4 separate regions of the Mus musculus genome follow, and all the other regions are reported to be linked to region 1. The links are microRNA targets in miRTarBase. Many come from high-throughput screens and were not tested one by one. Region 1 holds a microRNA gene; each other region holds the end of a gene's coding sequence.

Region 1 (8,267 bases):
TAGAATTTTGCTGATTATAAAGTAGAGGGACAGTGAAGGTCTCACTCACCAGGTGTAAATAATTGGCAGTGTCAGGAGGATCAGGAGTTCAATTTCATGCTTAACTTCATGAGCAGTTAGAGATCATCCTGGAATAATGTGATGGCCCCTATGTATGTGCCCGTGTGCGTAAGTGCCTGCATGTATATGCGTGTATATTTTATGCATATACATACACACACCTACACACACATGCACACAGACATGCGGAAATGGCCTTCACGGATCCATTTGAATGATATGTGACCTACTGCTTTGGAGGTTATGTATGACTGGGCCAGGGTGAGGTCTCACAAACCACGGGAAAACCCTTGGTAGAGTCGGGAAGATCAGGAGTGCAAGTTCATAGTAAAGGCATGATGAGTTAGAGGTCATCCTGGCATTCATGTGATTGCCCCTACGTATGTGTATATGTGTTGATGTGTGTGTGCATGTACATATGTGAATATGATATACATATACATACACGCACACATAAGACACATATGAGCACACAGACACAGGGGAATGGCACTCGTCAATCCATTTGAATGATAAGTGACTTAGAGTGAAAATGCTTGCTAGAGTTAAGAGTATCAGGAGTTCAAATTTACACTTATCCTCATGAGAGATCAGCCTGTGATTCCTCCATGTATGTGCATGTGTGTATAGTTGTGTGTGCATGTTCATGTCTATATTTGAATATACATAACATACACACACACGTATAAACGCAAGCACACATACACAGACACAGGAATGGCATTCGCCAATCCCTTTGAATGATAAGTGATGTAGAGTTTTAGAGATTATGCAATAGGGGACATTGAATGGACTCACTCACCAGGTGTAAAAGATTGACAAAGTCAGGAGGATAAGGATTGCAAATTCAAGCTTAACTTCATTTGGAGATCATCTTGGTATTAATGTCATGCAACCCATGTATGTGCATGTGTGCTTACTTGTATGTGCATTGTATGTGTTGACATGATATACATAACATAAACACACGTGTTTATGCAAGCACACACACACAGGAAAAAATTGCATTCATTTATACGTTTGAATGACATGTGACTCAAAGTTTTCAAGATTATGAAGTAGTGGGACAGTGAAAGGTTTTACTCATCAGGTGTGAAAGATTGTGGATCAGGAGTTCTAATTCATGCTTTACTTCATGATGACTTAGAGATATGCCTGGGATTCATGTGATGTCCCCTATGTATCCCTATCTGTATCTGTTTCTATTGTGTGTGGATTTGAGTATATGGATGTACCTATCTACACAAATATGTACATGTACACAGACACAAACAGAAACACACACAAAAACATCAGTGCAACTCATCGATCCATTTGAATGACATGTGACTTAGAGTTTTAAGATTTTTCAGTACTGAATGGGGAGAGGTCTCACTCAGTAGGTGAAATCCCTTGACAGAGTCAGGTGGATCAGGAGTTCAAGTTCGTGCTGAATTTCATGATGAGTTCATGATCAGCATGGGATTCATATTATGCCCACCAAAATGTACATGTGTGTATAGTTGTGTGCATATTCACTTCTCTATATGAATATGCATATACACACATGCACACACATTCATAGGAATGGCCAGAGCTATGTCTCAGTTAGGAGGTGAGCACTCTTGCCAGTGTCAGGAGGATGAGGAGTTCAAATTCATGTTTAACTTCATGATGAGTTAGAGTTCAGCATGCGATTCATGTGATGCCCACCAAGAATGTGCATGTGTGTATAGTTGTGTACATATTCACTTCTGTATATGAATATGCATATACTCACATGCAAACATACTCCCACGAATGGCCCGTGCTATGACTCAGTTAGGAGGTGAATACTCTTGCCAGCATCATGAGGATGAGCAGTTCAAATTCATGTTTAACTTTATGATGAGTTAGAGATCAGCCCGGAATTCATGTGATTTTCCCTGTGTTTGTGTTTATGTGTATAGGGAAGTATGCCTGTACATGCGCGTATATGAACATGCATATATATATATATATATATATATATATATATATATATATATATATATACACCCACACAACTAGGGACACATTCATGTGCACACAAACACACATGGCAGTCATCCATTTGATTTATACGTGCTTAGAGTTTCATTGAGTGTATATTCATGGTATAGGGAATAATGTCACTTATCAGATGAAAACCACTTGCCAGAGTTAAAAGTCTCAGGAGTTCAAATTCATGCTAACTTCATAATGAGTTAGAGATCACCCTGTATTTGTGTGATGGATCCTAGGTATGCACAAGTGCATATAATTGTGTGTGCACGTACATGTGTGTATATGATCATACATATAAATACACACACATACAAATGTATTCACACACACAGGCATGCACACTCACACACATAAGAATGACACTCATTGATCCATTTGAATGATTTATGTCTTAGAATTTTGCTGATTATAAAGTAGAGGGACAGTGAATATTCTCACTCACCAGGTGTAAACAATTGTCAGTGTCAGGAGGATCAGGAGTTCAATTTCATGCTTAACTTCATGAGCAGTTAGAGATCATCCTGGAATAATGTGATGGCCCCTATGTATGTGCCTGTGTGCGTAAGTGCCTGCATGTATATGCGTGTATATTTTATGCATATACATACACACACCTACACACACATGCACACAGACATGCGGGAATGGCCCTCACGGATCCATTTGAATGAAATGTGACCTACTGCTTTGGAGGTTATGTATGACTGGGCCAGGGTGAGGTCTCACAAACCACAGGAAAACCCTTGGTAGATTCGAGAAGATCAGGAGTGCAAGTTCATGGTAAAGGCATGATGAGTTAGAGGTCATCCTGGCATTCATGTGATTGCCCCTATGTATGTGTGTATGTGTTGATGTGTGTGTACATGTACATGTGTGAATATGATATACATATACATACACGCACACATAAGACACATATGAGCACACAGACACATGGGAATGGCACTCATCAATCCATTTGAGTGATAAGTGACTTAGAGTGAAAATGCTTGCTAGAGTTAAGAGTATCAGGAGTTCAAATTCATACTTATCCTCATGAGAGATCAGCCTGTGATTCCTCCATGTATGTGCATGTGTGTATAGTTGTGTGTGCATGTTCATGTCTATATTTGAATATACATAACATACACACACACGTATAAACGCAAGCACACATACACAGACACAGGAATGGCATTCGCCAATCCCTTTGAATGATAAGTGATGTAGAGTTTTAGAGATTATGCAATAGGGGGCATTGAATGTCCTCACTCACCAGGTGTAAACGATTGACAAAGTCAGGAGGATAAGGATTGCAAATTCATGCTTAACTTCATTTGGAGACATCTTGGTATTAATGTCATGCAACCCATGTATGTGCATGTGTGCTTACTTGTATGTGCATTGTATGTGTTGACATGATATACATAACATAAACACACGTGTATATGCAAGCACACACACACAGGAAAAAATTGCATTCATTTATACGTTTGAATGATACGTGACTTAAAGTTTTCAAGATTATGCAGTAGTGGGACAGTGAATGGTTTTACTCACCAGGTGTGAAAGATTGTGGATCAGGAGTTCTAATTCATGCTTTACTTCATGATGACTTAGAGATATGCCTGGGATTCATGTGATGCCCCCTATGTATCCCTATCTGTATCTGTTTCTATTGTGTGTGGATTTGAGTATATGGATGTACCTATCTACACAAATATATACATGTACACAGACACAAACAGTAACACACACACAAACATGAATGCAACTCATCGATCCATTTGAATGATATGTGACTTAGAGTTTTAAGATTCCTCATTACTGAATGGGGAGAGGTCTCACTCAGCAGGAGAAATCCCTTGACAGAGTCAGGTGGATCAGGAGTTCAAATTCGTGCTGAATTTTGTGATGAGTTCATGATCAGCATGGGATTCATCTTATGCCCACCAAAAATGTGCATGTGTGTATAGTTGTGTGCATATTCACTTCTCTATATGAATATGCATATACACACATGCACACACATTCATAGGAATGGCCAGAGCTATGTCTCAGTTAGGAGGTGAGCACTCTTGTCAGTGTCAGGATGAGGAATTCAAATTTATGTTTAACTTCATGATGAGTTAGAGTTCAGCATGCGATTCATGTGATGCCCACCAAGAATGTGCATGTGTGTATAGTTGAGTACATATTCACTTCTGTACATGAATATGCATATACTCACATGCAAACATACTCCCACGAATGGCCCGAGCTATGACTTAGTTAGGAGGTGAATACTCTTGCCAGCATCATGAGGATGAGCAATTCAAATTCATGTTTAACTTTATGATGAGTTAGAGATCAGCCCGGAATTCATGTGATTTTCCCTGTGTTTGTGTTTATGTGTATAGGTGAAGTGTGCGTGTACATGCGCGTATATGAACATGCATATATATATATATATATATGTATATATATATATATATATATATATACACACACACACACACACACACACAACTAGGGAAACATACATGTGCACACAAACACACATGGCAGTCATCCTTTTGATTTATACGTGCTTAGAGTTTCATTGAGTGTATATTCATGGTATAGGGAAAAATCTCTCTTATCAGATGAAAACCACTTGCCAGAGTTAGGAGTCTCAGGAGTTCAAATTCATGCTTAACTTCATAATGAGTGAGAGATCACCCTGTTTTTGTGTGATGGACCCTAGGTATGCACAAGTGCATATAATTTTGTGTGCACGTACATGTGTTTATATGATCATACATATAAATACACACACATACAAATGTAGTCACACACACAGGCATGCACACTCACACAAATAAGAATGACACTCATTGATCCATTTGAATGATATATGTCTTAGAATTTTGCTGATTATAAAGTAGGACAGTGAAGGTCTCACTCACCAGGTGTAAACAATTGACAGTGTCAGGAGGATCAGGAGTTCAATTTCATGCTTAACTTCATGAGCAGTTAGAGATCATCCTGGAATAATGTGATGGCCCCTATGTATGTGCCTGTGTGCGTAAGTGCCTGCATGTATATGCGTGTATATTTTATGCATATACATACACACACCTACACACACATGCACACAGACATGCGGGAATGGCCCTCACGGATCCATTTGAATGATATGTGACCTACTGCTTTGGAGGTTATGTATGACTGGCCAGGGTGAGGTCTCACAAACCACGGGAAACCCTTGGTAGAGTCGGGAAGATCAGGAGTGCAAGTTCATGGTAAAGGCATGATGAGTTAGAGGTCATCCTGGCATTCATGTGATTGCCCCTATGAATATGTGTATGTGTTGATGTGTGTGTACATGTACATGTGTGAATATGATATACATATACATACACGCACACATAAGACACATATGAGCACACAGACACATGGGAATGGCACTCATCAATCCATTTGAGTGATAAGTGACTTAGAGTGAAAATGCTTGCTAGAGTTAAGAGTATCAGGAGTTCAAATTCATACTTATCCTCATGAGAGATCAGCCTGTGATTCCTCCATGTATGTGCATGTGTGTATAGTTGTGTGTGCATGTTCATGTCTATATTTGAATATACATAACATACACACACACACGTATAAACGCAAGCACACATACACAGACACAGGAATGGCATTCGCCAATCCCTTTGAATGATAAGTGATGTAGAGTTTTAGAGATTATGCAATAGGGGACATTGAATGGTCTCACCCACCAGGTGTAAAAGATTGACAAAGTCAGGAGGATAAGGATTTCAACTTCATGCTTAATTCAGTTAGAGATCATCCTGGTATTCATGTGAGGCCATCCATGTATGTGCATATGTGTTTACTTGTATATGCATTGCATCTGTTGACATGATATACAAAACATAAACAAACGTGTATATGAAAGCACAGACACAGAGAAAAAAATTGCATTCATTTATACGTTTGAATGATATGCGACTTAAAGTTTTAAAGATTATGCAGTACTGGGACAGTGAACGGTTTTACTCACCAGGTGTGAAAGATTGTGGATCAGGAGTTCTAATTCATGCTTTACTTCATGATGACTTAGAGATATGCCTGGGATTCATGTGATGCCCCCTATGTATCCCTATCTGTATCTGTTTATATTTTGTGTGGATTTGAGTATATGTATGTTCCTATCTACACAAATATATACATGTACACAGACACAAACAGAAACACACACACAAACATCAGTGCAACTCATCGATCCATTTGAATGACGTGTGACTTAGAGTTTTAAGATTCCTCAGTACTGAATGGGGAGAGGTCTCACTCAGCAGGTGAAGTCCCTTGACAGAGTCAGGTGGATCAGGAGTTCAAATTTGTGCTGAATTTCATGATGAGTTCATGATCAGCATGGGATTCATCTTATGCCCACCAAAAATGTGCATGTGTGTATAGTTGTCTGCATATTCACTTCTCTATATGAATATGCATATACACACATGCACACACATTCATAGGAATGGCCAGAGCTATGTCTCAGGAGGTGAGTACTCTTGCCAGTGTCAGGAGGATGAGGAGTTCAAATTCATGTTTAACTTCATGATGAGTTAGAGTTCAGCATGCGATTCATGTGATGCCCACCAAGAATGTGCATGTGTGTATAGTTGTGTACATAATCACTTCTGTATATGAATATGCATATACTCACACGCAAACATACTCCCATGAATGGCCCGAGCTATTAATCAGTTAGGAGGTGAATACTCTTGCCAGCATCATGAGGATGAGTAGTTCAAATTCATGTTTAACTTTATGATGAGTTAGAGATCAGCCGGGAATTCATGTGATTTTCCCTGTGTTTGTGTTTATGTGTATAGGGAAGTATGCCTGTACATGCGCGTATATGAACATGCATATATATATATATATATATATATATATATATATATATATATACACACCCACACAACTAGGGACACATACATGTGCACACATACACACATGGCAGTCATCCATTTGATTTATACGTGCTTATAATTTCATTGAGTGTATATTCATGGTATAGGGAATAATCTCACTTATCAGATGAAAACCACTTGCCAGAGTTAGGAGTCTCAGGAGTTCAAATTCATGCTTAACTTCATAATGAGTTAGAGATCACCCTGTATTTGTGTGATGGATCCTAGGTATGCACAAGTGCATATAATTGTGTGTGCACGTACATGTGTGTATATGATCATACATATAAATACACACACATACAAATGTATTCACACACACAGGCGTGCACACTCACACACATAAGAATGACACTCATTGATCCATTTGAATGATATATGTCTTAGAATTTTGCTGATTATAAAGTAGAGGGACAGTGAAGGTCTCACTCACCAGGTGTAAATAATTGGCAGTGTCAGGAGGATCAGGAGTTCAATTTCATGCTTAACTTCATGAGCAGTTAGAGATCATCCTGGAATAATGTGATGGCCCCTATGTATGTGCCCGTGTGCGTAAGTGCCTGCATGTATATGCGTGTATATTTTATGCATATACATACACACACCTACACACACATGCACACAGACATGCGGAAATGGCCTTCACGGATCCATTTGAATGATATGTGACCTACTGCTTTGGAGGTTATGTATGACTGGGCCAGGGTGAGGTCTCACAAACCACGGGAAAACCCTTGGTAGAGTCGGGAAGATCAGGAGTGCAAGTTCATAGTAAAGGCATGATGAGTTAGAGGTCATCCTGGCATTCATGTGATTGCCCCTACGTATGTGTATATGTGTTGATGTGTGTGTGCATGTACATATGTGAATATGATATACATATACATACACGCACACATAAGACACATATGAGCACACAGACACAGGGGAATGGCACTCGTCAATCCATTTGAATGATAAGTGACTTAGAGTGAAAATGCTTGCTAGAGTTAAGAGTATCAGGAGTTCAAATTTACACTTATCCTCATGAGAGATCAGCCTGTGATTCCTCCATGTATGTGCATGTGTGTATAGTTGTGTGTGCATGTTCATGTCTATATTTGAATATACATAACATACACACACACGTATAAACGCAAGCACACATACACAGACACAGGAATGGCATTCGCCAATCCCTTTGAATGATAAGTGATGTAGAGTTTTAGAGATTATGCAATAGGGGACATTGAATGGACTCACTCACCAGGTGTAAAAGATTGACAAAGTCAGGAGGATAAG
Region 2 (8,267 bases), not on the chromosome of region 1:
ACATGTGTATAGAATGTATTATGATCACAGTAACCCCATCATCCTTCTCTTAGCCCTCTCCTACCCATTTGTCTCACTTTTCAACTAGTTCCCTTCTAGGTCTTCTTTTTGTGTTTTTAGAATCGGCCATTTTTAGTTTTTTTTTTTTTTTTTTTTTTTGCAACCTTATTCCCTGTGGTGTCTTCACTAGAGATAATCAGGGTGCCACTACTGCTTCTTACTTTGATACCTTTAGCAAAAATCCCAATGAGTAATTTATGGTTTAGTAAATGAACTCAATAGCTTTTTGTTTCAGAGTCCAACAATCCTAATTCCTTGAACTTTTTCTTAGAGGTTATACTTTCCAATCTTGGTTTTGTTTCTTTTAATTTTGTTCTTTATCTTCTCTCATTCTCACGTGATTCTGAAACAACACCCCACTAGGAATTGAGCCCACAGTTCAATTGAACCTCACCTCCTAGAAGTGGGCTTCTTTTCAGTGACCACCACTAAAGGAAAACAATACAGGCTTGCTGTCTGAGCATCCTAACAAACACAAGTAAACAGCCTTGCATACAGTTTACCCACCATTACGGTGCATGTTTGCACGTCTCCAGCATTTTTATACCATCATTACTGGCCTTTATATATTGTTTGTTGGTTATTACCACTTTATGATTTGACTTCGCTTCATCAATAATAACTTTCTCTCTTTTTGTATTGCCAGGGATCAAATGTAAGCTTTGCTTCATCTGCATGCTAGGTACGTGCTTTACCACTGAGCTATGTTCCAGCCTAATTCTTTTCCTCAGAACTCCAGAAATTACTTATTTTGATTTATTTGCTCAAAGAGAATATATTCCCATGCTATTGCTGAAAAGAGGGATGAGATAAACAATGCAGTTATCATTCCAAGGTCGAGACCCACAGGCTGGCATGCCTATCTTGAGCTGTTATTAAATTTAGCCTGTTAGGCACCTGTGCACCCACTGTGTCATGTTCATGTTAAACATGCTCAGACAGACTCAAGAATGTAGACAAGAATCAAACGGTCTCCTCAACTTACACACTCTGGGAACCTTTATACACAGCTGGGATGTAGCCTTTCAAGATAAGGGCTCAAATGTCAGTAACGTCACGTGACGATGACTTATTTCTTGTATGTTTAGCACTGAAGCAAAGATATTCTCTTCACAAGTGAATAGCAATCATGGCGTGGCTTTCTTGTTATAAACAGGCTGTCACATTGCTTTAGTTTTCATTTTGTCCTTGGGCCACTGAGACACAGACACTAAAACTGAATGGGCATGTTTTTTTATACCACGTCGTAGAATACATGTTATTTCCTAAATTACAATTTACACTCCTAAAAGCCAACAAAATGTTTTAAAAATAAAACAAAAAATTCTACATGCTACTTTTTTTTTAGCACAAAGCCTCTAAAATAAACTCATACAGGAAAATGGCACTGAACATTAACTAGCTATCATCTATATAATGTAGGACCCAGTTCTAAGACAGTAAGGAAGGAACACAGAGCAGTAGTGGCAACATAATGTAAAACCTATCTTTGGATTATATAAGCTCAACCAAAATTATCCTCAAGCTGCAACAAAACACACCATGGTTTAATTAATATTCCAATCAGTATAGGCTTTATATTATTTATTTTTAGGAAACTAATCATCTAACATCAGTATTGTCTCCTATAGGCAACTTTTCTTAAATGATTATACCTGAAGGCCTTGCTACTGTTATCATAACTGTAGTGTGTGTATTCTGTAAACTATTTGGGGAAATATATAATTTGGAAAGCTTAGACAGTATTTTTCCATTAGGCTTTTCAGAAGGCTACAGAGTCAACCACAAATGACTTTCCTGAAAACTGTTTCGCATTGAAAAAGATGAAACGTATTTATATGATCAGAAATTCCAAAGCCTGATGGAGCATACTAAAATAAATTGACCTTAGTTCTAACTTCAGTTTCAGTGTTTCATAATACCTAAAATTTCCCATTCAAGCACCGTGCTTAGCCTTGTTTAGCTTCTGAGATAATGAGAATGAGATTGGGTATTGAATCAAGGTAGTGTGGCTGTAGAAAATACTTATATCTTGATGTTTCATTTTTTATTAAAATTAGCATTACCTTATCAGATAAATAAATCTGGCTATAAAAATGTAATTAAAAAAGACTGCCAAATAAATGCCATGCTGATGCCATAGGACAGAGTTTTTCACTTATAGGTTATGATAACTGAATCCTAGCAGGAAGACTCAGCTACAGTTACATTAAGCCAAAATTTATTAAGACCTTTTTCTACAACCATCTTTAGAGTGAACAAATCTGTTTCCTATAGAGGAAGCACCTATATAGTTTGGAAGATTTTCCTTAACTATCTGAAAATGGACTGTGTTATATTCAACACAGGAACATCATTTCAGTTCCCACTAGACCCTGAGAATGCACTGAGGAATTTGACAAGAATAAAGCCATGAGGAGTGCTGCCACTACTGTTTTATGTTCAGTAAACATCCGTCTTAAATACATACAGTAAATATACACCACACCAAGGGCACCCGAAACACTGGTGCCAAACCACAGACGGTAACATCTGTCCTAAATCAGAAAACCTAAATAACCTATAAACATTTTTTCCTTCCTTCCTTCCTTCCTTCCTTCCTTCCTTCCTTCCTTCCTTCCTTCCTTCCTTCCTCCCTCCCTCCCTCCCTCCCTCCCTCCCTCCCTCCCTTCCTAGACAAAGAATTACTGTGCAGCCCAGGCTAGCCATAAACTAACTAATGATCCTCCTACTAATGATCCTCCTGCCTCAGCCTCCTAAGGGCTGTGACGGCAGGAATATGCCACCAAGCTGGGTTTCTAATTTGAAAAACAGGCAGGAACAGTACTCCCAGCCACAAACACACAAACACCTTTAAGAAGTAATTTCCTTAACTAACCCTATAGTTATATAATGTTTGACTTCTTTTAAACCATGCTATACACAATTACAAGATACGTAACTAAGCTTAAGCACAGTTCAATATGAAAACTCACTTTTGTACTGTTTGTGATACAGGAAGAACAGCGTGCCACTGGAACACTTTCATTGTAATGACTGTCACTTAAGATTATGAAAATATTTGACTCATATCCAAATATTTTCATTTCAAATGTATATAATCTATTTAGCCAGCTGAACACAGGAAAGAAAAGGGAAAAGATAACTTGGCAGATGAGAGAATTCTAACACAAGGTTCACTGAGTGGAGTTCTTGAAGGTTTCGTTCCATATGTCAGTGCAGAGTCATAACGTACTGATGTGCCCTACACAGAGCGCCAGACCAGTGCGTTCTTACTGGGCTCAAGAAAATTCTCTATCAGCGCGTCAATGAGTTTCTTTAATTCTTCTTCCAGGAAGGTAGTGTCACTGAGGAAAAAAAGACAAAAACAGTTAAAATTCTTATTTTTATAGCCTTAACATTTATTTAAATCATTTCCACTTTTAAGGAAGGCACATATCTGACAGGACAACTAAATAATCGGCAAACAAAAGAGAAATTCACCCAGTTGAAATAAAACAAAGAAGACTCTTTAAAAATTCATACACAAAACAACAGTCACAAGCTAACACTGGACTGCATTACTCGGATGTCTTCCGGCCATGATAGAGTGTGAGTTCACAGTGGCCAATGAATTTTCCTAGGTTAATCAATTTAATAGCTCAGAATGCCAATAGCACGTATTATTAAAAATGGCTTTCTGAGATACTGAAGGACATTCAGTACAGAAGACATTGAACAATACAAATATCTTTCAGGTATCAGAAAGCAGTCCTGGCACTCACTGGGGAGGCAGAGGCAGGTGATCTCTGTGATTGTGAGGACAGCCAGGGCTCTATAGTGAGAGCTTGTCTTAAAAAAAGAAGAAAACGAATAAGGTATTTATTTTAAAAAATCACTCTACACTTACAGGCATTCCCTGTGAATCATCACTGAAGCACTGCTGCAGGCCACACATTCCTGTAGAAGCCTCTGTACCCACCTTCACGGCCATTTACAAGCCAGAAAACAAACCCATTTCTATTACTTTAATAATTCCTCATTTTGACCTAAAATTATTTGGATAACTATAAACTCTGCTCTGAACATGAGAGGTCCTTTTCATCTCCTGGAGAAATACATGGGCACAGGGAGATACAAACTAACACACCCTAGTTGTGTCCTCAAGACAATTAAAAGATAAATCGTCCCCAAAATTCACTGGTCAGTGAAGGACATAATCAAAAGGACATAATCAAAATCAATTAAATAACTTTTGGAATGTTCATTAAAAAGATCAACAATTTGTGACAAACCGAACCCATGTTTTTAGAAAATGAACTGGCAGATTAAGCAAAACCATGGCAGATACAAAAAACAAGATTTAACATATCATTTCTTTATACTAAAACTCAGAATTCCCAAAAAAGAAATTCACTACAATTTTGATATTCAATTCCCAGCGATATAGCTTCTTTGGGGGAAAGAGTCTGGCAGTTTCTCAAAAGGTAAAACATATTTACCTTAGGGCCCAGAAATCCTACTTCTACATATATTTCCAAGAAAAATGGAGGTATACACCACACAAACTCAGTCACAATTGCTCATAATTGCACCATTCTAATAGTTTAAGAAGTAATCACCTGCATGTCCACTAATGAGGGGAATAGTTGGGGACAAAGGATGATTTTAGCCACTAAAGACCACATAATGTCTTCTTTCATTTATAAATAAAATGTCCTGTTACGGGGTAAATCTGAAAAGTCCCTTACAGACTCAGGTGATATAGATGCGATCTTGAGATATCGGTGCTATCTGGGGTAGAATGTACCTGACGGAAATAGGCCCCTGGGCTATGCTTTTGAAAGTTTTACCCGATCTCTTCTTCCTCCACATGTGACACTATGTTCATTCTTGTCTTGAGTCCAGACAACTGTGAATCAAAACCTCAAAAAGCATGACCCCAAATAAACCCTCCCTACCTCTTTCAGAGTGTTGAAAACATGAAGAAAAACCAGCATAAGCAGAACTTAGAAAAGGACAGTGGACCAGTGCCTGCTTAGGGCTGGAAAGAACCTCTAAAGGAACTCTTTTTAGAGTTATAAAAATGTTCTAAAGTTGATTGTAGTGATGGTTACACAGCTAGAGATATTAAAAACCACTGAATTTTACACTGATATGTGTGAACTGTACGGTATGTAAGTTATATCTCAATAAAGCTTCTACATATATATTCAAAAGAATCAACTCTCACCTCTGGCCAGGCGATGCACACATCTCTGCATAATACTTTATCTTCGGTTCTGTCCCACTTGTTCGGAGAGTAGCGACACAGCCGTTTTGGAAGGTAAATGTAATCATTTGGCTGTTTTTACTCACAGGCAGTACCTATTCAAAATGCAATAGTTTACACCTATATCTTCATTTTCAAGAACTATAAAATATACCACAGTTGCAGGAAGTAGCTAAGGTATCTAAGTCACAGAAGCAATGTGGACTGGTCATTGCCAAGAGTTGGGAGATGGGTGTGTAAAGTTGTTTAATGAGTACAGAATTTCAATTTATCAAGGTTAAAGAAATCTGTTATATAATAATATAAGCATACTACATGTTTTGAAATTTAAATGAAAAAAGAGGACATAAAGTCTTGAGGGAGATGGGTTGGTGGATCCCAGAGAGAGTTGGGATGAGGAACCGGGGGTGGATAAGATCAAAATATGTCGTATACATGTATGGAATTTTCAAAGAATACCAAAATTATTTAAAATGGGTAAGATGCAAACATGGATTAAATACATTATTAGAGTACTGAAACAACATTTGAACATTACAAATGGAACTTAAGCTAACAGTTATCATCATAATTACAATAAAATGAATGTAAGAGCTTATCATGTAAGTGTCTGTTGAGCATATACCACAGAGGTGGGAGCATTGAGAGGTACTGAGGAAATGGACCTGCCACGTGCAATGCAACAGTGACATAAGTAGACGTCAACAAAACACTAATATACAACCCAAAGGTTACACAATCACTCATTCTGTAAAAACTGATTATGGGACCTGGAATTCCAAAGGAGGATGTAACATTTGCCTTAAGTTTTAAGCCTCAAGCATTCTAGGTAAGTGCCCTGTCACCATCAGCTCTTGCCTTAATTAAACCTTAAGTAATGGTGAGGTATGAGCCTACAGCAGAAAGGAGAAAAGGTAAACTGAGGCAAACAAGTTGACCCAAAATACAGAAAAACCTAATGCATATGTGTTTAAGAAATCTTCAGTTCGCTGGGCGTGGTGGCGCACACTTTTAATCCCAGCACTTGGGAGGCAGAGGCAGGCGGATTTCTGAGTTCGAGGCCAGCCTGGTCTACAGAGTGAGCTCCAGGACAGCCAGGGCTACACAGAGAAACCCTGTCTCGAAAAAACAAAAAAACAAACAAACAAACAAACAAACAAAAAAAGAAAAGAAAAGAAAAGAAAAGAAAAGAAAAGAAAGAAAGAAAGAAAGAAGGAAAGAAAGAAAGAATCAGTTTTATTGGACTAGAGGTATGGAGAGCCAGGTTGGAAGCATGTTAAAATCAGGAAGCTGCAGCAGGGCTCTGAAGTCTTTAGACTTCATGTTCCCGTATCATTCACCCTCACTGCGCACTCCCTCCCTCCCTCCCTCCCTCCCTCGCTTCCTCTTCTCCGTTGGTCCCTCTTCTCCAAGCCCACTTCCCTTTGCGCCAGCAGCACGGATGATTATTAGGGGAGTAATAAGTATCAAGTCAGAGACCAGTTAGTGCCCTTGAAAATAGTCTGGTGGCACAAAACAACAGGTCCTCCCCTCAAGAAACTAGAGGCCACTCTTTTACTATACCATGAATTATGACACTTTTTTTATGACAAGTTTTTTGTTGGTGGTGGTGGTTTTGTTTGCTCAGTTGTTTCTTTAAAGAGGTGTTTTCTGGGGTTTCAACTTCTAGCTGAACACACAGAATGCTGGGAAGGAAGGTGGTACACCTGGACAGTGCTGAGAATAGCTGCTCTCAATCTGTGGGTTTCCAACCCTTTGGAGTTCACATATCAAATATTTACATTGTGATTCATAAGAGCAGCAAAATTATAGTTACAAAGTAGCAACAAGATAATTTTACGGTTGGGGGTCACCACAACACGAGGCCGTATTAAAAGGTGGCAGCATTAGGAAGGCTGAGGACTACTGGCTTGGGGGGTTTTGCCCAGGCCTCCACTTGTAGAACCTTGCCTGCATGTCTCTTCCATCTGGCTGCTTCTAAACTTAACCACTGTAAACAAGTAAACATGAGCACACTGGCTTGGATCTTAGGTGAAACTTATTGCAGCTTTAGATTTTTTTGGTGACTTGAGTTATTAAATTGTCTTCATTGTTTGTAAAAAGAAAAGGTACTTACTGATTTCTTATTTGGCTGGCTGCTATCATATCCAGTGGTTATGTCCCGTACATGCAAAATAGCAAAAGCCCCACAAAATTTTGGATATTCCTTTGGAGACTCAAAATTTCGAATCCTTTCAAATATGGTTTTGATGGTAGGTGGATCATAACACAAGAAATATGAAGTTTTGGACATATGGTAACCGTATCTGCACAAAGATTTAAAGCTAAAGTCAGATTCTAGGGAACTTTTGGACACGTGCATATTAAAGATAAGCCAACATAATATTTTATAGAAAGTGATACTGATAATATTAATAGTAAAGAAATATAGTCAGGAAAAGGTGGCACATGTTTTAATTCCAGCGCTTGGGAGTTAGATGCAGGCAGATCTCCATGAGTTCGAGGCCAGCTTGGTCTACAGAGCGAGTCTAGGACACCCAGGGCTGCACAGAGTAATCCTATCTTTAAAAGAAAGAAGAAAGAAAGGGGGTGGGGGAGAGGGAAGGAAGGAAGGAATCTGTTCCTCAAAAACAAACTAAGAAAAGAACCCCAAACCAACCAACCAACCAACCAGCCAGCCAGCCAACCAACCAACCAACCAACCAGCCAACCAACCAACCAACCAGCCAACCAGCCAACCAGCCAACCAGCCAACCGACCAAAAAGCAAGCAAGGCAGGTCTGTTGTGAGATCACATGAGAACTTACATTTCATACACTTTTGTCAGTTGCTCCATCAGTGTTACCTTCCTGGTATCCAGGAAAGAGGCCATCTCAGCAACAACAGCAGCTGCACTCACTCCATCTTTGTCCAACACGGAGGTTCCACACAGAAAGCCTGAGGGTTAGACGGTGTC
Region 3 (4,000 bases), not on the chromosome of region 1:
GGGAGATGTTTCAGTAGATCGCTTGAAGGGTTAAAAACGTAAAGTACCATGCAAAGCCCACATGGGTTCCCAACGTGTATTCCTCCCCCCCCCCCCCCCGCCCCATTCAGAAAGAAACTAGGCCATGGACACTAAGACCCATGCCATGATCTTAACTTGCAAATACTAATTTATGACCCTTTAAAGACTTACTTTTATTATGTGAGACTTACATGTGTGCCTGTGCACCTGAGTGCAGGTGCCCACAGAGGCCCCTGGAGATGGGGTTACCTGAGACTGGGGGCGCTGGGAGCTCCACGTCAGCCTCCTGCAAGGGCAGCATGCACTCCCACCACCGAGCCGTCTCTCCAGCCCCTTAACCTTACACTTAACAATTAAAACTCAAACAAACAGAAACTGTTGCAGAGTACTGATCGTGGGATTATTTGCTTATCCGATGGAGACTGGTATCGCGGCGTGACTTACAGACCGGACCACAGCGGGACCCTGGGAGCTGGGTGAGATTCCTAGGAAGCAGGCCTGATTCAGACTGCTCTCCAGGATTCCTACTTTTTGTTGTTGCATGCTTTGTCTTTAGGGAATAGAAATCTGTATTGTCCCTAAAGAAAGGGAAGATAGATCTAGTGTGGGACTCAGAGCAGGTTTTGGTGACTTGAGAAAGGAACGGCACAGCTTTTCTGTTGTTCAGGCTTAAAGCTTAGAAAGTGTACAGGACCGTCACACCCTGCAACAACCTGGGTTCCAGCTGTCTGCCGGGAAAGATGGGTTGACCTAGGAAAGATGGGTTGACCTAGGAAACCTGGGTTTCTAGTGGAGAAAGTGACCTCAGAAACAAAGCCCACCAACGTGAACCCAGGGCTGCGACTCGCTCACTCCCGCCTCTGTCCCTCGGCTTACAGAAGTCACAGTGCTGCTTGTCTATGTAGGAGAACTATGCTAACATTGCTGGTATCCATCTATCCGCCCTTAATCCAGCCTGTACCCTTACCAATGGCTCAGTGGCCAGCCTGGGCACTAGAAGGGCTCCAAACGAAAGTGTGCCTTAACTTTGACCAGTCTAAGCCCCAGCAAAGGGTCTGCATGCAGGCAGGCCTGAAGGGGGATGTTAAAGAGCACTGCTGCCCCCTTCCGCTGGACCTGCACACACACAGGAGCACGCAGGACTGGGCCAGCCAGCTAGGACAGCACTTTCAACTTCCCCGGAACAATGGCTGGCTCCCTCTGCGTCTTACTGCGTGTCCCTCACTGTGCACCCAATGTGAGGACACCCCTCCTACTCTCGCATTTCCAGAGCTCAGGACCGGCTTCTTCACAGTTACCCTGGATCTCACCTCTACCACCACCATTCCCAAAAAGAAACTGGCCACTCTGACTCTTCCAAGTCTGGTCTCTTAAAAAAAAAAAAAAGTTTCATTTTCTTTCAGTTTCCATGTTGACAGTTTAAAACCAAAATTTATAGAACTCTCCAGTCTGATCACATTTCTAGAGACAGAACATTTGGATGTCAGTGGTAAATCTTACACAAAAGAAATTCTCAACCATAAACTTACAGCACATGAGCCAGCTGAACTCCACCTTAGTTCCAGTTTCTGTGCACTCCTAACACCTCCCACCTGAGCATGTACCCGACACACAATGCCTTAAAAATAATTCACAGATACAAGGGGGGGATTTTGTGCTTTTTTTTTCAAAAACATACTTCATATTTCCTCTTTTATTATATAAATATCAGTTTAACCTTTTGCTGTAAGAATATAAACGTTTTAAGAGGATCTTTGTTATTTATACAAATTCACAAACAGTACAATTAATTGATAAAGGTCTCTGGGTTTCTCCATGGTCTCTCATGTTGCTGTGGAGGACTCTAAAAAAATAAACAAACAAAATATCCAACAAAAATATACATCCTACTCAAAAGCGATTTGTTTTAAAGCCACAGTCCCAACCCCCCACCAAAATAAAGTCATCTATTCCTCCATTTAGAAACAAAAGTTTTCAAACCCACAAGCTCCCGTTTCGAGAACAGAACTCAGACAGGACATGAAGTTCAGCCTCCTCCCTTCATTCACATAGCCTCAGGCTCTCTGCTGACACGGCTCACTCCCCGACAGGACGGGAAGCCTCACTAGCTAACAGCCTCACTAGCTAACCTCTCGGTGGGAAGACTTGCAAGAGGGTTGGGGTGGGGCATAATTTGCATATATAATACTCCTCTTCAAGACTCAAATCTGCATCTCAAACAAACAAACAAAAAGGAAATTCTGCTCTCATTTCTCCCATACATTTGTGCTATAAATTAAATCAATATAGAAACATGGTTGGGTCATCAAAGCCCAATAGACTGGGGGTGGGGTGGGGGGTGGGGTCGTAGCCAGGATGCGGAAGTGGGGCACATTGGGTACAGGGAGGTTGGGAAGAAGCCAAAACCAAAAACAGATACAAACCCAGTGGGCATCTTTCCAGTCTAGGCACAAAAATGTTTCAATCTCAAAATATCTCTCTTGTAGAATTCCAGGGCTTAAGAGAAAAAAGTAAACTAAAACGAGGTAGCCAGACATATATATATATACATACACACACACACACACACATATATATATATATATATATATGAGAATATACTCAGCAGAAAGAAAAAAGAACAATGATTTCAAATTTCTTTGAAAACTAAAAAGGAAGCAGATAAAAAACAAAACAAAAAAACAGAACAAGAACAAAACCAGAACCGAAGTGAGTTGCAGATACCAAAGGGGCAGCGATGAGAGGAGACTGGCTACAAAGTGGATGAGAAGGCTGTTCAAGTCGGGCTTGCTTTCTACACGTTTGGAATTAAAAGCCAGATCACAGTATCCAAATGAAAGTGTAAGTGAAGGCAGGCATCTTTCCTCAACTCCTCGGGGTTGAAACGACTAGTCCCTCCCCGCCCCCACCCCATTTCCAAATGCAGTGCCCCAGGATACAGTTGTCGGTGGCTGAAAGTCTCCATACCCTGCAGAAGAGTGGGCAGAGAAACAGCAGGGTCCATCTCTCCCCTCACTGGGAAAGGAGAGTGGGTAGAGGGAGCAGAACAACTCCAGACGCAGTGGAGAGGGGCGCCAGACTAGGAGAAGAGAGCCCAGGCTTCCGTCATCGCCCCACCGCGGCCACTGCCCTGAACGTGTAAGTGCGCGCGTGAGTGTGCGGAACAGTGGTGGTCCTGGGATGAACAGGGCGGGGCGGGGGAACTGGAACTGCCGCCCTCACCTGACCTTCTCACTGTCCGTCATCTGCCAAAGTCCCAGGTTAAGTACCTTGAGGCAGGGCAGCTGCGTGATGCGCTCCAGGCCGCGCTTGGTGATCCTGGTGCAGCCGTACAGATCTATGCCCGTGAGCTGGCTCAGGTGCTCAGCGATCAGCTCCAGGCCCTTGTCCGTGATGCGCACACACTGTCCAATGTTGAGCGTGCGCAGCCCGTGCATCTGCCGCACCATGCGGTTGATGCCATCGTCACTGATATGGCAAGAGCAAAGGGAGAGGGACTTGAGGCCGTCCAGTCCCTGGGCTATGTACGCCAGACTCTGATCTCCCACCTTGTCACAGAACGACACATCCAGACCGGAAAGGCGCAGGCTGCCCATGGCCAGATGCATGATGCCGGTGTCGCTGATGTTGTCGCAGGAGCGCAGGTTCAGGCTGCGCAGGCTGCCCATGTGCGACAGGTGCAGAAGGCCCGCGTCCGAGATGCCGCCGCAGAAGCTGAGGTTGAGGAGCCGGAGGCCCGTCAGCCCTCGCGAGATGTGCTTCAGGGAAAGATCCGTGAGTTTCTGGCAGTCCTGAAGAGTGAGCTGCTCCAGGCCCAGGCAGCCCTCGGCAGCGCTGCGCGTCATGCCGGCCAGGTGCCCGATGCCCACATCCGAGAGGTGGCGACAGCTGCGGAGATTAAGGCTCTTGAGGCGCTGCAGCCCCCAGGCAATGAGCAGAAGGCCGGTGTTGGTGATGTTGCTGCAGCCCCCCAGCTCCA
Region 4 (8,267 bases), not on the chromosome of region 1:
ATGAGGACCATTCTCACTCAAACCACCACATTCTGTTCCCTGGCCCTCAGTGGCTTATATAATAATGCAGAATGCATTTAGTCCAAGTTCAAAGATCCCCATATAGTCTTTTCACTTCAACGCTGTTTTAAAGTCCAAAGTCTCTTGGGATTCTTGCGATCTTTTAACTGTAACCTCCTATAAAAAACAAAAAGCAAATCGCGTACTTCCAGCATACAGTGGCACAGATTCTACCTTACCATTCCAACAGGGAGGAGGAGGAGCCCTGCGGAGGAGATGCTGGACCAAAGCAAGACTGAAAGCCAGCTGGGCAGACGCCAAATTCTGCAGCCCCATGTCTGATGTCAAAGTGCTCTTCAGGTCTCCAACTCCTTCCAGCTCCGTTGACTGCCGCACACTTCTTTCCCTTGGACTGGTTCCACTCCCTGCTATCAGCTCTTCCTGGCAGGTATCCCACCGCTTTGGCATCTCCAACATTTTGAAGTTTCCAATAAAATCCAAGCTTCGTTTTCACAGCTTCGTGTAATGGCTTCTCTGGGCCTTCATGCAGGGACTCCTGTGCCTCCTTGGCTTTCTATTTAGCCACAGAGGAAGGTTCCAGAGCCCCTTTCCCATATATTCCTTGATAAAGCCAGAACTTCATAAAGTTTTATAGCTGAAGCTGCTAAATTCTGCTGCTTGCTGGTGCTGGACGCTTTCCTTTGTTATTTAAGCCTTAAAAAAAATCCCCCAAGTCTTTTCCTTTGCAGGATTAGCTGGGTGGGTCTTGCCCTGAGGTTACCAATTCCTTTATTCCATTTTAAACCAAGCCTTTTATAAAACTATCCCCTCGAGCACAGAGTTTGGCTCCATTTCCTGATGTTCATTTTTATTTCTCTTTGCCGTGCTCCTCCTTTTCCACGGAGATCTGCAGGAGAGTGCCCACTAGTAACCACGTGATACAGTCAATCCTAGGCTGTCTCGAAATCTCCTCTGCCAAGGACACTAATTTAAAATTCTCCAATAGTGCTCGGGTAGATTTTTTTAAAACAAAGCCAGAAATCAGACACATACATTCTTTGCCAACCCATTATAAGAATGTTCTGTAGGCCACTTGCTATTACTTCTTGCCCTCAGAAACGTCTTGAGGTGCACCTGCAGGGTCCACACCGACCTCGTACTCCTGCCCTCCATGATCCTACTAGGATGCTCCATCAGCCACACTTCCCGCAGCATTCAAGCTAATTCATGCAAAGCACTAAAGCATTCACTTTTCTACTTCAAATTCCCAAAGTCTCCCATATTCTTCCAACAAACAGAATGTCAGGCCTATCACAGCGATGCCACAGATGCCTGCCGTCAACTTCTGTCCTATTGTTCTATTGCTGGAAGGAGGAACCATGACCATACACACACATACAGAGACAGACTGACAGACAGACAGACAGACAGACAGACAGACAGAGAATGGATGATAGATAGGTAGATAGATAGATAGATAGATGATAGATAGATAGATAAGATAGATGATAGATAATGCATAGATGTAGATAGATGGATGATGATTGATATGACATGATAGATCTATTAATAGATCTATTAATCTATCATTTATTAATCAATAGATGATAGATAGATAATAGATTAGAGAGAGACAGACAGAGAGACAGAGAGAGAGAGAAGTAGGTCAGCTTTAGGTAGTAACAGCAGGATCACACCTAAAAGCTGAGAGTCTGGTAGTTACTCAGTCCTAGAGGCCGGTACCTCAGCAGTAGGAGTCCCGCAGTCTCTCTCACTGAAGCAGGACAGGGAATCGGTAGCTTCTCCGTGCACACGACTGGGTACTTCAGCAGGGCCAACCTGTTGCTGGAAACCTGTAAGGTTCCTGGGGAGACACTGGTCCTTAGCCCACAGGGAAGGCCTGGAGACAATGGTTCTGCTGTCTGTGATAGAATTAGCAGCAGCAGCAATGGGCAAATCCACTCAGCCATCAGGGGGAGGCCAAGTGTGCAGATGCAGGTGAGCTTCCTTCTGCAAACCCTTTTATCCAGGCTCTACCAGAAGGTGCTGCTCACAGGCAGGGTAGGTCTTGCCACATCAAGCAGGACGGACACTTCATTCAAAAGAGGCTCCCTAGTCAGGTGATTCTACTTTGTGGCATTAAAATCAACCATAACACAGGGGTTTAGTATATACAATATACAAAAAAAAAAAAAAAAAAAAAAAAAAACAACCTGCAAAACTTAAACACCAAAAATAGTCATTGGATAAACTGGTCAGGGAACGAGAGGGGGGGGGGGAGGAAGGAAGGAAGGAAGGAAGGAAGGAAGGAAGGAAGGAAGGAAGGAAGGAAGGAAGGAAGGAAGGAAGGAAGGAAGGAAGGAAGGAAAAGGAAGGAAGAAAAGAAGAGAGGAAGAAAGAAAAACATAGAGGGTCAATAAATATTTTAAAAAGTTTCCACTTTCCTTGACAATTGAAGAAATGGAAATTAAAGCAATGATCTCAATATTATTGTCTCAGGCAAAGCTAGAACTCAATCTAAAAGCCTATCAGCTGAGGACTGGATGAACAAATGTGGCACCATGGATCCATGCAGTGGAATATTACTCAGCCCTGAAAAGGAACGGAGTGCTGACATATGCTGGAACACAGTTAAGACCTCTGAACATTGTCATCCTACTTGAAGAAAGCCAGCTGCCAATAACTTCTAAGGTATGACTGCAGTTATGTGACATGCTCAGAGCAGGCGTGTCTGTGAGCAGTGACCTAGGGATCATGAGCAGTGAAGGGAAAGGGGGTCGATGGACACGACACTTCTTTTGGGCACAGATTGGGGCGGTGGCTGCAGAAGCCCTGAAAATCACTTTTACATTCAGTAAACTGTATTCGCAGCAGCTGTTTAAAACTCTGTCATCCCAGCACTCTGGGGCCTGAGACAGAAAGCTGGTGTGTTTGTGTAGCCTGGGTTACACAGCAAGACCCTGTTTCAAAGTGGGTGAGGGAGGCAAGTCCATTAAAAATCCTGAGTAAAAACAGAATTAATGATCTTGCATAAACAGGCTCACTGCACACTGACAATCAAGAAGTCCCACAGTGTCCTCCCCAGAAGGCACCCTGCACCAGCCTAGTGCTGGCATCTGCTGTGCCAATACCAGGGTGGGCACTGCTCTGATCCAGAGAGCCTCTCCCAACACCGTGGGCACCTTGAAAGTCCTAAAATTAAGCTATTAACATGTGGAAGGTCTTTATTGAGCAATAATGTTACTAAATCACAGAGATACTTATGAGTTAATTTTCATATAAACAGAAAACAAGAAATCCTCACAACACATGAACTACATGTTAAAGAATGTGTGGGGTCCCACACAAAGCACCCCTCAGATGTTCAGTCCATGTCTGTGGTCCGGGCTTCCTTCACAGACCCCCATATGCAAACGGGGTCCTCGTGATGTCCCTGTATGGAGCTGCAAGTTCTGCTTCTTCACAGTCGGGCCCCTCCCTCTTTGCAATGTGTGTGAGACGAAGAGAAACTGCAGGAGACACTCAGGGCAGCCCACCCAGAGAGAGCAGCTCCCTGAGGCTGAAACCAAGCCTCAGTTTAATGTCCCAAGCACGACACAGAGTTTGTCCCGCAGAAAGCATGCTGGATGGGTGGAGAAAGGAAGGAACAAGAGAGGACAGGCTGGTAGGGGATACAGCAGTGAATCAAAGGAAATAGAATGTATGTGTGAGTGTACATGTGTGTGTGGTTGTGTAGATATGTATATGTATGATATATGTGTGTGTGTCTTAGTTAGGGTTTTCCTGCTGTGAGCAGACACCATGACTAAGGCAAGTCTTATTTAAAAAAATTTTTTTAATTGGGGCTGGCTTACAGGTTCAGAGGTTCAGTCCATTATCATCAAGGTGGGAGCATGGCAGCATCCAGGCAGGCATGGCGCAGGCAGAGCTGAGAGTTCTACATCTTCATCTGAAGGCTGCTACCAGAATACTCGCTTCCAGGCAGCTAGGATGAGGGTCTTAAAGCCAGACACCCACAGTGACACACCTACTCCAACAGGGCCACACCTTCTAAAAGTGCCATTTCCTGGGCCTAGCATATACAAACAATCACAACGTGTGTGTGTGTGTGTGTGTGTGTGTACATACACACACATATATATACAGATAAATGGGTAGAGGAAAGGGGAGAGAGGAAGAGAAGAGGTGAAGGAAAGAGGAGAGAGAGAAAATGAGAGAAGTATGTGTGCACACATGCATGTGTGCATGTATGTAGAAATGAGCAAAGAGCTGCACGCTTTGACAAATATAAGACCCCACAGCATATGTTGCTGAGCATTCAGGGAACATAAAGTGTCGGGCCCACTTTCTCAGGTAGAAATCCTCCCCCGAATGCAGACATCTGGACCCGATGGCACTGAAGGCAACATGGGCAGTACACTGAGCCTAATGCAGTCCAAGGCCCACAGTGGCCACCATCAGGCCCTGGCATGGTTGACATTATCCAGCCCTGGTGTGTGTCCTCAAGGAGCTCAGAAGTGACTGACAAGTCCCCAGAGATGGAACTTGTCTCCCTGAAAACTCCACTGTGGAGCTCTGAGGTTACAACAAGGCTGAATGTACATCATGGATGGGAACCATGGTCCATCTCTGAGCCCATTTCCACTAAGGGGAAGTGTGTTCATTCATTCACAGGGTCCCACGCATCTCCCTCCTATTCTCCTGGGGAGTGGAAGCAATGGTCATTTTAATGAATGACGTTCTAAAGTCCTGCATCTGCCAACAGTTGGCCTGCAAAAGTGGCTCCCATTGAGTATCTGGCTCACCCAAGCACTTCTTCAGACCCTGTTGTTCCGGAGCCTACCAGGGGAGCCAGAGATAACGATCGCCATCCTCAGGACCAGAGACTATTCAGGGCCGTATAAAAACCCTCAGGCTCAGATCCTGGAGAAGCCAGACGGCCCTCTGAGGAGTTAGGTGCCGAGTTCACACCTGACGCGCTTCCTCACACACTTGCGCACAGCGTCGGCCATTCTGTGTCCTCTCCGGTTCTCCAACAGCCCACTCCTGAAATCAGAAGGTAACACTGTGATGAGGTCCTGACGGACAGTGCAGGTCTAGACATAGGACCCGGGGTGAGCTGGCTTGGCTAGCCCCACCCTTCATGCTGAGATTAAAGGCGATAAGTCACGTTTGAACAAACCAGCTAGTGATGCACAGGGGAACATATTTGTCACCGGTGCACATATTTGCTGGATGGACCCGAAGGCCAGCCTGTACAAGATTTAAGTAAGGTCAGAGCAGAGCAGGAGAGCCACGCACCCAGCACCAGTAGATGATGGACACACTCAGCTAACACAAGTCAGAACACCCCAAACAGCTCAGGCTGTACTGGGCATGCCCACCCTTCCCAGGTCATTGTCCCTACAGTACCAAACAACCATTTCTGTGGTGTTCACTGCACTGGGTGCCCAACTCATCCAGAGATGATGTCACGTGTGTGGGAGGGTGAGTGAAACAGGGACACCATTTCACACAGGGGGCTTGGGCATCCAAGGAAGGTCCAGAAACCAACTCCCATAGACACCAAGACACAACTAGACATTGTTGTGTTTGTCTGTTTGTTTATTTGTTATGGGGTCTCCTGTGTTCCAGACTGTCCTTGAATTCTCCACGAAGCTAAAAATGCTCTGATTTTCCTGCCTCTGCCTCTTTTGGGATGGACTCACAGGGGGTACACAAGTACAGCCAGATTCTACAAAGCTTCATGCGTGTGAGGAAGCCGTGTACCAACTGAGCTGCAGACATCCCGAGCCTCGCTTTAAAAGCGTATCCCGTGTGCTAGAGTGAAGCTCCTCGCAGAAGCTACAGGTTACTAAATGAGAACCCAAATGACAGTGTTGGGCTACTTCCCTGTGAGATACAGGACAGGGACGCACCAGAGGCTCCAGAACAGGCCACCGCACTGTGACCAGTTGCCCACCAGAACTACAAGACAAGGTCCTACTGCTGGCTAAAAGACAAAGGGGGATCAAGCTGCAACTGGGGGCTTCTTCCCTTGCTGGTCAGCCCCCATGCTGCGAGAAAGCACAAGCGGCACAGGCTGTCATGGACTGTCCTCGGCACCCATTGTCACTCACAGGTAAGGCAGGACAGAGCCACTGATAGAATTGTCCCAAGTTTGCTACAGCCAAACTTATGGCTGCACGTGAGGCTGGCCCTACAGAGAGAAATCCACACCTTGCAGTGTAAGCCTGCTCGAAAGCCAGTGGCCAGGGTGGGTCGCAGGCCCCCTGTAGGGAAGCAACTACTGTTGCTTTATGAAATGGACATGATGTGCCTGTTAGAGTACCATCGAGTAGCCAAACATGGCAGTGCACACCTCTAATCCCAGCTCCAAGGAGGCAGAGACGGGTGGATCTCTGTGAATTCAAGGCCAAGCTGGTCTATACAGAGAGACCCTGTCTTGAGAAAAGGGAACTTAAAAAATATATTTATTTATATATAAAAATATATTTAATATATACTATATCCCTCCCTGAGGACTTATAGACAGATACTGATTGAAGAAAGAGGTAAGATGTTTTCTTCAGTGGTATAGCAGGAAGAGGTAAGGAGAAGAGAGAGGGTCAATGGGAGGGGGAGGGGGGAATTAGAGGGTAACAGGGCAATGACTGTGGTGAAAATACATTATACACAAGTAGGAAGTGTCATAATAGAACTCAGTGAATATGGTTGATATATGCCAATGTATTTTTTTAAGTTGGCATTCTGCCTTTGAGTGTGCAGCCATACATGCACACACACATACACATACACACACACACACACATTCACAGTCACACACATTCATACACACATTCACACTCACACACATATATACACACACATACATACACACATACACACACACTTATATATACACACACATACACACACATTCATACACATACACACATTCATACACACACATATATACACATTCACACTCACATTCATACACACACACATATACACACATACACACATATATACACACATACACATTCACACACACACATTCATACACACACCACACACACACACATACATACACACATTCATACACACACATATACACACACATACATACACACATACATACATACACATATACCACACACACACATACACACATATGCACAATACACACACACACACACACACACACACACACACACACACACATACACACCCCTTCAAATACTCCAGACTCCAGCTGCTTCCTCTGAAAGGGCCAACTTTTTTCTTTTTACCCATGTACAGCTTTCAAAGACGACCCGAGACTTACGGGACTATCTTCTGCTTCTGTGGAGTCTCCTATCCCAGAAATCACTGCTTAACAGAATGAGCCATGTTCCTTCACACGGACAAGAGTTAGGTTTTAGAGTTGACCCTTTAAGGATTTCAGAGCGATCACCCAGTATGCATACGGGCTGGCTTCAGGGAAAACACCAAATCTTATCAAATATTGAGCACCAAGCTACTAAGAAAGACTTGGTGACCTGATTTCCCCTCAAGACCCCCATCATGCCGGAGGATGCAAACACCCAACTTCATTCTCCTGTCAGCAGCAGACTGGGAAGGCATCGGGAAAAGAGCAAGGTAGATTTGCTTTGCTTTTGTTCTACGTGAGATGCTGGTCTGCAGCCAGATTTAAGACTCAGATCTTTCACTAATTCTCTAACCATATGAGGGTCAGACTCCTAGTTTCCTTCCGACTTCATGAGTGCTTGTCTGTCTGAGAGATGAAATTACCAAAACGAAATGCCTAATTATAAAGATCTCTTCTTATCTCATCCCTCTATCCCCGAGACTGGGAAGCTTTTAAGCACCAATCAACATCCGTATGGTCCACTGCTAGGGAGGAGCCTAGAGCCCAGGTGTCCAAGGAGCTGGGAGCTGCGAGGCAGTCACTAAGAAAGGCAAGATGATTGCTGAGGACACGGAAAGGCAGTGGAATGGTAGATTGCTACTGTACCTTGTGGCTTTCTCCATGATTAAACTGTGTGGGTCCATCCTCCTGAGAAGCCTGCCCGGGAGTGTCCGTGTCCTCTTCAGAACATTTAGGGTGCACGGTGCTCCCTAAACAAGAGAACAGGATAAGCGAACCCCTCCCCACACATCGATGCTGAGGCCCCACTTCATTCTCATGATCTCCACTTTGATCTTTGCTACACTGGTCTCCTCTGAGGACAGCTGCAAGGTGTCAGGGGACATAAAGGGGTAGGCAATTCAGTGGTGGGGAT

Evidence for each region. Region 1 holds the annotated microRNA mmu-miR-466b-3p (AUACAUACACGCACACAUAAGA, at 2,955-2,976, shown strand). A microRNA usually pairs through its seed, bases 2 to 8, with sites in the 3' UTR of a target mRNA and lowers its output. Matches are read on the target gene's strand: a 7mer-m8 pairs with bases 2 to 8, a 7mer-A1 pairs with bases 2 to 7 and ends in A, and an 8mer does both.
Region 2: miRTarBase lists Pgm2l1 as a target of mmu-miR-466b-3p. Seed matches in the 3' UTR shown: 7mer-m8 at 2,524-2,530.
Region 3: miRTarBase lists Fbxl14 as a target of mmu-miR-466b-3p. Seed matches in the 3' UTR shown: 7mer-m8 at 2,568-2,574.
Region 4: miRTarBase lists Fam169b as a target of mmu-miR-466b-3p. Seed matches in the 3' UTR shown: 7mer-m8 at 4,122-4,128.

Annotation. Positions count from the first base shown.
Region 1 is chr2:10,483,523-10,491,789 of GRCm38, forward strand. Mir466b-4 (microRNA 466b-4) reads left to right here and starts at 2,901; the gene lies at 2,901-2,990. The region is part of intron 10 of Sfmbt2 (Scm-like with four mbt domains 2); the gene reads left to right. Mir467a-4 (microRNA 467a-4) reads left to right here and starts at 2,613; the gene lies at 2,613-2,695. It overlaps Mir669a-7 (microRNA 669a-7), which reads left to right and starts at 3,131; the gene lies at 3,131-3,217. It also overlaps Mir467a-5, Mir466b-5, Mir669p-1, Mir467a-3, Mir466c-2 and Mir669a-6, and 3 more genes.
Region 2 is chr7:100,267,467-100,275,733 of GRCm38, reverse strand. Pgm2l1 (phosphoglucomutase 2-like 1) reads right to left here. Exons shown (of 14, transcript NM_027629.3): 11 at 8,119-8,248; 12 at 7,428-7,617; 13 at 5,273-5,406; 14 at 1-3,407. The coding sequence ends at 3,305. Among named protein-coding and RNA genes, the nearest start is that of P4ha3, 14 kb to the left of the region's middle.
Region 3 is chr6:119,480,302-119,484,301 of GRCm38, reverse strand. Fbxl14 (F-box and leucine-rich repeat protein 14) reads right to left here. Exons shown (of 1, transcript NM_133940.3): 1 at 416-4,000. The coding sequence ends at 3,240. The region is part of intron 1 of Wnt5b (wingless-type MMTV integration site family, member 5B); the gene reads left to right. Among named protein-coding and RNA genes, the nearest start is that of Fbxl14, 2.6 kb to the right of the region's middle.
Region 4 is chr7:68,358,021-68,366,287 of GRCm38, reverse strand. Fam169b (family with sequence similarity 169, member B) reads right to left here. Exons shown (of 9, transcript NM_001374636.1): 8 at 8,000-8,103; 9 at 3,207-5,046. The coding sequence ends at 4,966. Among named protein-coding and RNA genes, the nearest start is that of Gm16158, 8.9 kb to the right of the region's middle.